2 linked regions of the Saccharomyces cerevisiae S288C genome follow. The protein of the gene in region 2 purifies or fractionates together with the protein of the main gene of each other region. This does not show direct contact. Each region holds a gene or a part of one and is shown on either strand. Other genes may lie near its edges.

Evidence for each region. The genes of interacting proteins can lie anywhere in the genome.
Region 1: the proteins of RGI2 (region 2) and CCE1 purify together in Saccharomyces cerevisiae (affinity purification with mass spectrometry, with the first as the bait; one large-scale study listed by BioGRID). This does not show direct contact.

The regions. Positions count from the first base shown.
Region 1 is NC_001143.9:418,892-424,269, reverse strand, and holds CCE1 (cruciform cutting endonuclease), read left to right. Parts: upstream 1-3,053; coding exon 3,054-4,115; downstream 4,116-5,378. Other genes in the region: putative ubiquitin-protein ligase UFD4, read left to right, coding at 1-2,846; snoRNA-splicing protein PRP40, read right to left, coding at 4,209-5,378. UniProt on the Saccharomyces cerevisiae protein: Capable of resolving Holliday junctions. Specific for 4-way junctions. Seems to be important for the maintenance of mitochondrial DNA. Cleaves fixed junctions at the point of strand exchange. Cleaves after 5'-CT-3' sequence.
Region 2 is NC_001141.2:246,029-250,655, forward strand, and holds RGI2 (Rgi2p), read right to left. Parts: upstream 2,369-4,627; coding exon 1,874-2,368; downstream 1-1,873. Other genes in the region: YIL060W (uncharacterized protein), read left to right, coding at 364-798; YIL059C (uncharacterized protein), read right to left, coding at 522-887; VHR1 (Vhr1p), read left to right, coding at 3,963-4,627. UniProt on the Saccharomyces cerevisiae protein: Involved in the control of energetic metabolism and significantly contribute to cell fitness, especially under respiratory growth conditions.

The DNA of each region.
Region 1 (5,378 bases), on a different chromosome or scaffold from region 2:
TGAGGGTTGTATCATGCATAAATAATTCCACAGCAAAGGCAATCAATGATCAACTTATTAAGTTAATCGGATCTATCCTGGCCCAAAAAGAAACAGCGTCTAACGCTAATGGTACTTACTCATCAGAAGCTGGTACACTGTTGGTTGGTGGTCTCTCGTTGCTTGACTTAATTTGTAAAAAGTTTTCCGAACTGTTCTTTCCTTCCATCAAAAGAGAGGGCATTTTTGATTTGGTTAAGGATTTGTCTGTGGATTTCAATAACATTGATTTAAAGGAAGACGGGAATGAAAATATTTCACTTTCTGACGAAGAAGGGGATTTGCATAGCAGTATTGAGGAATGTGATGAGGGTGATGAAGAATATGATTACGAATTTACTGATATGGAAATTCCTGATTCAGTAAAACCAAAGAAAATTTCAATACACATTTTCAGAACTCTATCTCTAGCTTATATTAAAAACAAGGGTGTGAACCTAGTTAATAGAGTACTTTCTCAGATGAACGTTGAGCAAGAAGCAATAACAGAGGAGCTCCATCAAATCGAAGGCGTTGTTTCTATTTTAGAAAATCCTTCCACTCCGGACAAAACTGAAGAGGATTGGAAGGGAATTTGGTCTGTTTTAAAAAAATGTATTTTCCATGAAGATTTCGACGTGTCAGGTTTCGAATTTACTTCTACAGGGCTAGCTTCCTCCATAACTAAAAGAATTACATCCTCAACGGTATCCCATTTCATTCTTGCTAAATCATTTTTAGAGGTATTTGAGGATTGTATTGACAGATTTTTAGAAATCCTACAATCTGCTCTCACAAGGCTGGAGAATTTCTCTATAGTTGATTGCGGTTTACACGATGGTGGTGGTGTATCTTCACTGGCTAAAGAGATAAAAATTAAGTTGGTTTATGATGGCGATGCAAGCAAAGATAATATTGGTACTGATTTATCATCTACTATCGTTTCGGTCCATTGCATAGCTTCTTTTACCTCACTTAATGAGTTTTTGAGACACAGAATGGTAAGAATGCGTTTTTTGAATTCATTAATCCCAAACCTTACATCTTCCAGTACCGAAGCTGATAGGGAAGAAGAAGAAAATTGCTTGGATCATATGAGAAAAAAGAACTTTGACTTTTTTTATGATAATGAAAAAGTTGACATGGAGTCTACAGTATTTGGTGTGATATTTAATACATTCGTCAGGCGAAATCGTGACTTAAAAACTTTATGGGATGATACACATACAATCAAATTTTGCAAAAGTTTAGAAGGTAACAATAGAGAGAGTGAGGCAGCCGAGGAAGCTAATGAGGGGAAAAAGTTAAGAGATTTTTATAAAAAAAGAGAATTCGCACAGGTTGATACTGGATCTTCAGCGGATATTCTGACATTGCTGGATTTTCTACATAGCTGCGGTGTTAAAAGCGACAGTTTTATCAACTCAAAACTAAGCGCTAAGCTCGCTAGACAACTAGATGAACCATTGGTAGTAGCAAGTGGAGCTTTGCCGGATTGGTCACTATTTTTGACCAGGAGATTCCCATTTTTGTTTCCGTTTGATACCAGGATGCTTTTCCTACAATGTACTTCATTTGGTTACGGAAGATTGATTCAACTTTGGAAGAATAAGAGTAAAGGCTCGAAAGATTTAAGGAATGACGAAGCTTTACAACAACTTGGGAGAATTACTAGGCGTAAGCTGCGGATTTCAAGAAAAACAATATTCGCTACCGGTCTCAAGATTTTATCCAAGTACGGAAGTAGCCCTGACGTACTGGAAATTGAATATCAAGAAGAAGCAGGAACAGGTTTAGGACCGACTTTGGAATTTTACTCCGTAGTTTCCAAGTATTTTGCAAGAAAGTCGTTAAATATGTGGCGTTGTAACTCTTATAGTTACAGAAGCGAAATGGATGTTGATACTACTGACGATTATATTACCACTTTATTGTTCCCAGAGCCCCTCAACCCGTTTTCCAATAATGAAAAAGTTATTGAACTTTTTGGATATTTGGGGACATTTGTTGCCAGATCGTTGCTTGATAATAGAATTCTTGACTTTAGATTTAGCAAAGTCTTTTTTGAGTTATTGCACAGAATGTCTACGCCCAATGTGACGACAGTGCCGAGCGACGTTGAAACCTGTCTGTTAATGATCGAATTGGTAGATCCGTTACTCGCAAAATCCCTTAAATACATAGTAGCGAATAAGGATGACAATATGACCCTAGAATCGTTGTCCTTGACATTTACCGTTCCTGGAAATGATGACATTGAGTTGATTCCGGGGGGTTGTAATAAATCCTTGAACTCTTCTAATGTTGAAGAATATATCCATGGCGTTATCGACCAAATATTAGGTAAGGGCATTGAAAAACAGTTAAAAGCATTTATTGAAGGTTTTTCAAAGGTGTTTTCCTATGAGAGGATGCTAATACTTTTTCCGGATGAATTAGTGGATATTTTCGGACGAGTTGAGGAAGACTGGTCTATGGCAACTTTATACACAAACTTGAACGCTGAACATGGCTATACAATGGATTCTTCAATCATTCATGATTTTATATCAATAATATCCGCGTTTGGTAAGCATGAAAGAAGATTATTTTTGCAATTTTTAACGGGATCTCCCAAGCTTCCAATTGGGGGATTTAAAAGTTTGAACCCAAAGTTTACAGTTGTGTTAAAGCATGCTGAAGATGGCCTAACAGCAGACGAATATCTACCAAGTGTAATGACATGTGCTAATTATTTGAAATTGCCGAAGTATACTAGCAAAGATATTATGCGGTCTCGTCTTTGTCAAGCCATTGAAGAGGGTGCAGGAGCTTTTCTACTTTCCTAAATTTTAGTTACTTTTTCTATTTAAGTTTTATATGACTTCAAAATTATTTCTTAAGATACAAAAAATGGATGGAATCAGACTAAATTTCTTCGGATTATCCGTACTTTTCTCATTTTTTTGTTTCAACTGGCGATTCCATATTTGTTTATCCATTGCATACAACGAAGGCTTACGGTTATACAGTCTAAAGCTAAAAAAGATAGTAATATGTCGACAGCACAGAAAGCTAAGATATTGCAACTCATCGATTCCTGCTGCCAAAATGCAAAAAGCACACAACTGAAATCTTTATCATTTGTTATTGGAGCAGTAAATGGCACGACGAAAGAAGCTAAAAGAACCTACATTCAAGAACAGTGTGAATTTTTGGAGAAGTTACGACAACAAAAGATAAGAGAGGGAAGAATTAACATATTGTCTATGGATGCTGGTGTTTCTAACTTTGCTTTCTCTAAGATGCAATTGCTCAATAATGATCCGCTCCCTAAAGTACTAGACTGGCAAAAGATAAATCTAGAGGAGAAATTTTTTCAAAACCTCAAAAAGTTAAGCTTGAATCCTGCTGAAACTTCTGAGCTTGTATTTAACCTTACGGAGTATTTATTTGAATCTATGCCGATACCAGATATGTTTACAATTGAAAGGCAACGTACCAGAACTATGTCTTCGAGGCATATTTTAGACCCAATTTTAAAAGTGAATATTCTCGAACAGATTCTTTTCTCTAACTTGGAAAATAAAATGAAGTATACGAATAAAATACCGAATACGTCCAAGTTGAGGTATATGGTATGTTCGTCCGATCCACATCGGATGACTTCATATTGGTGCATTCCAAGAGAAGAGACACCGACCAGTTCAAAAAAGTTAAAATCTAACAAACATAGCAAAGATTCTCGAATAAAGCTAGTGAAAAAAATACTTTCAACCTCAATACTAGAAGGTAATTCAACTAGTTCTACAAAACTGGTCGAGTTCATAGGAGTTTGGAATAATAGGATAAGAAATGCCCTTACCAAAAAAAAAAGTTTCAAGCTATGTGATATACTAGAGATCCAAGATAATTCGGGGGTGAGAAAAGATGACGATTTGGCAGATTCATTCCTCCATTGTTTGTCTTGGATGGAGTGGTTAAAAAATTATGAAAGTATTACTGAACTCTTGAATTCAAAAACACTGGTTAAAACACAGTTCGGACAGGTGTTTGAATTTTGTGAAAATAAGGTACAAAAGCTGAAATTTTTGCAGAACACTTACAACAATGACTAAGAAATTGTGCGGTGATCGCAAACTTGAAATAACATGTAATCTCTATGTATAATTTATATAATGATTAACAAGATAGAGGTCGACACGTCAGAATCAATAGTCCAATTCCACAGCCGGAGTTAAATGCCTCTTTTTTGACGCGGTCAACGTTAAGTTTGCAGTAGCGCTTTCGGCAGTCGGTGCAGAGCTTTCAGGCTTAAAATCCTCGAAAATTTGTCTTCTTATGTTATCTTCATCGCCTAGTGCCTTGTATTCAAGAGATTCGCCAAGCTCTTTGGAAGCTAAATCCCACGTACTAGGCTTGGGCTTACCGGTTTTTGTATATGTCCTTTGCAAAAGTAACCAAAAATAGTGCTTCTTTTGCTCCAATATCCTACGCTCATTTTGGAGTTTCTGTTGTATCTTTTCGTTTCTTTGCTTTATCAAACCATCAACAATCAAACTGATGTCTTCTTTATCCACCTTGTCAAATTTCCGGTCATTTTCCAGAACTTTTTCTATGTTTTGCTTGGTGATCTCGTCGCTATCGGCATCATTCCATTCAAAATTTTGATCTATCAACGTCTGTTGGGCTATTGATCTTTGTGCAAAGATGTACATCCTTTGTTCATCAACAAAATCTAAAAATAAATCAAGGCAGGACGAGCCATTCCTTCCAAGCATATGTAAAAAGCGCGGATCAGACTTTATATGAGGATAAATATCTGACCATCTAGTATTTGCTTTGATTTTGATTGGCACTTCTCTTAATAAGCTTTTAAAGTTATCTCTAGCAATACGGTCTCTGGTATAATTGCGCAGTCGGAGCTCATTTAGTTTGTTTTGAAGATCGTTTTCAATCGTATTTACTATTTTCAGATACTCGTTTAAAACATCTTCGTGGGTTAAGACTTTGAAGTGCCGGTTCGCCATATATCTCTTACTCTTATCAAAAACATAGTGATTTAAAAGCTGCTGCCAGGTTATGAAAGTTTCAGAGGATGATGTTGTTATAATACCGTTTAAATACTCTCTTAGTTCTTTTAGGGCCTGTGTTTTCAATTTTTTTTTTGATTCTTTCTGAGTGTCGATGAGGGTATCTATATAATCTTGAAAGGTCTGTCTCTTTGTCTTTTCATTGACCACGGAGTGTTTGTATATTGGTTCGTCGGCAATTAGTCTCTTTGCGGTAGGCCAACGGGTGTAATATTTTATATGAGAATTGTTTTGCAACATTTTCTGAAAGGCTTCTTTGAATTTGCTTGTTTCATTGTGTTCCTTAAG
Region 2 (4,627 bases):
TTAAGAAAAGTAATATCAGCATATTATGAATAGACAAAAAAGTCTAAGGTCAAGATTTATTAAATGTTAGATTATTAAGATTACAATTAACAACATTTGTTGTTACTTCATAAAATTTCGTTACTTCATAAAAGAACTACAGTCCCCCACTTCTAAATGAGTGGTTGTAGGGGTTCATATACCTCCCATACTGTTGGAATAAAAATCAACTATCATCTACTAACTAGTATTTACGTTACTAGTATATTATCATATACGGTGTTAGAAGATGACGCAAATGATGAGAAATAGTCATCTAAATTAGTGGAAGCTGAAACGCAAGGATTGATAATGTAATAGGATCAATGAATATTAACATATAAAATGATGATAATAATATTTATAGAATTGTGTAGAATTGCAGATTCCCTTTTATGGATTCCTAAATCCTCGAGGAGAACTTCTAGTACATTCTACATACCTAATATTATTGCCTTATTAAAAATGGAATCCCAACAATTATCTCAAAATTCACCAACTCTTCACATACATACCTGCGGTAGCAAGATAGGTACACTTTTTCTACGTTTCACGAAGGTAGCGATAGGTACCTCACTCATTGTAGGTGCGGGGGTAGCGATGGAGGTTTCTGTACCATTACCACCACAGCCACTATACTCACGTAGTGAAGTCCCTAGCGTGGAATTGTGTGGTATCGTTGCTATCTGTCGTTCGCCACCCTCGGTATATCCAACGTGCAGGCCAATATCACTCTCTAAGAAAATCGTATCAGGATTGGTACGGACAAACTCTTCATAGCCTACGTCGAAATCAAATTCTGCTAAAGCTGTGACTGTAGTTAAACCTAAAACCGCGATTATTGCTTGAAAAACTGTGGAGAAATTCATGATGGACGGTCACGTTCAGGGTCTGAGAAAACCACTCATTCCTATGTCCCATGTGGTTGGTTGCAATTTGCTGCTATATATACGACTTGGCTGTAGAGAGATCTACGTAGGATGTGTCCACTATCAAGGGGGGTTTACCAACGTTATCTTCTATTTTAAGTGCTCAAATGAAGGTTGCATTATATCCCTGGCAGTTTTCCCGGCAATTTTGCCGGCCGCTTATAATAGTCATGGTGAAAGGATTGTTGCTTGTTGTGGTTGCAACATGACAGTTGCCTACTAACTAAATAATAATCAAAGTCAGTTTCTCAACAATGGAAAACCTGTTGTGACCTTATCGAAGTAACAACATCGTATAATAATTAATCTGGAAAAAATACCATAGTTACTGCCGATACAGGTCTACGTGACTTACTGACAAACAGACTGAGTGACTACGAGTCCAGAAATTTAGTATACCATATTGTCGCTTCTTCTTATAGCCCAGCTCCAGGTCTGGATACGGTTCTGTATAACTCGTTAAGGTTTAAGTGTCCGGCAATTTTTTTGAAGTTTCATTTCTTCACTCGATGACCAAGCCGTGTGCCATCTTTTCGTTTTCTTTTTTTTCAATGTGTTTAATTATCTACAAAGAGGGCACACACAATAGAGCTGATGAGAACCCATGAGCGAAACAAGTAGAAAAGCAAGACGTAAACGGAATCATGGTGGTGTGTACATTTCTCTTTTTTTATTACACCAAGAAAGCTTAATTGGTACGTATTGTTCGTGATAGTAGCATGAATCTAGCGTGGAATTCTTTTATTTAAGGTCGCGTTGTGACGACAAAACATTAAAAAAACCACATGTGTTGATTTGTAGACTTGTATACACTCCAGTAAGAAGGTGCACACCAAAATACATGCGCATATAAATTATTTTATATAGCATGCTATATTTCGTAAATTCATAAAATTTCGTTAATTCATAAAAACAGCTCCCCAAACTTAGATGAGTGGCTGCAAGGGTTCTGTCTTGTAATCAACATCTACCATTGCGCCATCGTGTTTACATACAACTTCGACAGACACCTTGAATTTCTTGGCGTTCAACTCCGTTTCTTCGCCATAATTCCAAACAATCCGGTCAAAGGATTCCTGCTTTTTCTTATCGTGGAATTTCAATTCTGGCTTGTTGATAGCGGTTTTGATGTCCTTTAGCAGGTGCTTCTCAACATGCTGGTGTAAATGGCGAACAAACTTCTTAGAGTGCGAATTGGCAGTCTCTTTGATCTTTTCCGGATCATCATGCGCATCATGCAGGACAAAGGGTGGATAGTACTTCAGTTGGCAATGGACATGGTCGAACTCTTGATCTTCCGTCTCACCCTTTAAATATGTTTCAAAATCATGCAAATCCTCAAAAACCTTTAAGGACTCACCACTTTTTGTAGTGATGGTGGACATCTTAGGACCCTTTGCTTTCTTATCCTTTTTCGTCATTCTTATTATTTAAAATACTTTGTTATATACTGTACGTTGTTTCGTTTGCACTTAATCGTGTTTCGACAGATAGGTGAATCAAGATCTACCTTTACGCGAAAGATACGAAGAATTGAGAAGGAGGTGCAAGGGAAAAGGGCAATAGAGGATTGGGACAGCCGATGCTTATATACGGACGATTGCCAACCGCCGAAAAGGTTCAAGCCAAGAACAAAAAGTAGAGAGAATACCCCAACAATAGCATTTGATGGCTAAACGGCAGTGCCCGTTAATACTATTCAAATTATACCCCGCATTAATAATTCCTGTCCCTTTAGTCTCGTCCTTCAGCCGTATAGCCGCAAAACTTCGTTCAATGATTTCATGCCATCATTACACCGCGAGTCGTGGGTGCATTGTAGTTTATTACGAAAAGTATCTACAATACTTGCTTAAATAACCTACATTGTTTTAGGCACTATGGCCGAGTGGTTAAGGCGACAGACTTGAAATCTGTTGGGCTCTGCCCGCGCTGGTTCAAATCCTGCTGGTGTCGTTATTTTTTTATTTTTATTTTTTTTTTATCGCTTACTGATTATCAGATATCTTCGACAGCCTCACACAGATTGGTGATCACGCACCCATAATCATTTCTTCGGGCATGCTCCTATTAGCCACGGTTCGCAGAATAATCTGCGCGATGTTATTCACCAAGACCGTGGAGTCTCCTTTTCGGTGGGATCCGCTTATATCCGTATGCGTCGGTTGCTTTCTCGGGGAAAGGAAAAGGAGAAAGCCCGGATAACACGACACAAGAGTCATTCGTTATGCACGGACACAGGGAATCGTGCGGAGCCGGGGATAAGAGGCCGTGCTAATTTCCGCGGAACATCGGAATGCAGTGGACAAGTGCCCTGAGAACAAGCGGCGGGCGGGTAGCTGCCACGGAATAGGCGCCACGTTTCCGTGGGTGACTATGACTTTTGATCGATTCCATGTTGTTTTGCCCTGAATTCTGCGCCCCTCGGAGAAGTTTCTTTTCTTTTTTATCTCTTTTTCATCTCTGACCTTCGTTTCCTTTCATATAGACTACGCAGCAGAATCATGGCAGGAGCTATTAGCTGAGTGGGCAGATTACGTTTGCGCACTGTGCATTGTGACAGATTATATTTGCTTCGCTTCTCCCTCTTACTTCTTCAGCATAAGTGTAAGCCATATGTTCCCTGAAATCTTTCTACCGTCGTCTTCTCTTTTTTTTTTTTTTACTATAAATCAATGTGCTCTCTTCCATGATTCTTGCCTTTTGGATCTTCGGTACTTGTGTGGGTGAGAATGGTGTTATTGAGTCAATTCAGGTCAGCTTGGTTCAGTTCTAATCTAGCCCTTTCCCTACTATACAAATACTACTAGCCTTTTTTTTTCTCTCTCTTTCTCTATACCACTACCTCTTCCTCTTCCTTTTTTTTCTCTTCTTTTTCTATTGTCCCCATCGCATCTTAGCATAAACGCATCCGCATTCCCTTCCTACATTTTTCTTTTCTACTAGTTATAGCTTTAAAACCTTCTTTATTCTCTTTCTACCTATTCTTCTTCGTTGCTTATATCCTATACACATATGAACGGTCCTCCAACATTCACTCAATATAGAATAAATAAGTTTTCTGGGAATGGAGCAACTCATAAGATTAGAGAATTACTCAATTTTAATGATGAAAAGAAATGGAAACAGTTTTCGAGCAGAAGGCTGGAGCTGATAGACAAATTCCAACTAAGTCAATATAAGGCAAGCGAACAAGATCAAAACATAAAGCAGATTGCTACAATATTAAGAACGGAGTTTGGATACCCTGTAAGCTGCTCTAAGGAATTCGAAAAGTTAGTCACTGCTGCTGTGCAATCAGTGAGAAGGAATAGAAAACGATCAAAAAAACGCTACGCTCTCAGCATAGCCAATGGCAGTGGCGGCAATGTCAACAACAGCATCTCGTCAAATTCTACTTCTGACGACGAGATCTCTCCGTCGATCTACCAGCGCTCCAATTCGGACTTCCTGCCTAGTTCTAATTATGCTGCAGATTTCCAGTTTTCAAACAAGTTCCAGCCTCTCATGAGTCACCAGAGTCATAACGGAACCATTTTTCCAACCGTGGGCACCCAAAATGACTCATCTCCATCGGTTACTTCGACCCAACAAAAGTATAACGATATAGTCACCATGCTAGTGCACGATCTTGTTACGAATGTCGTACCCCTATCAGAACAAGCTCTCAAGGACCCATA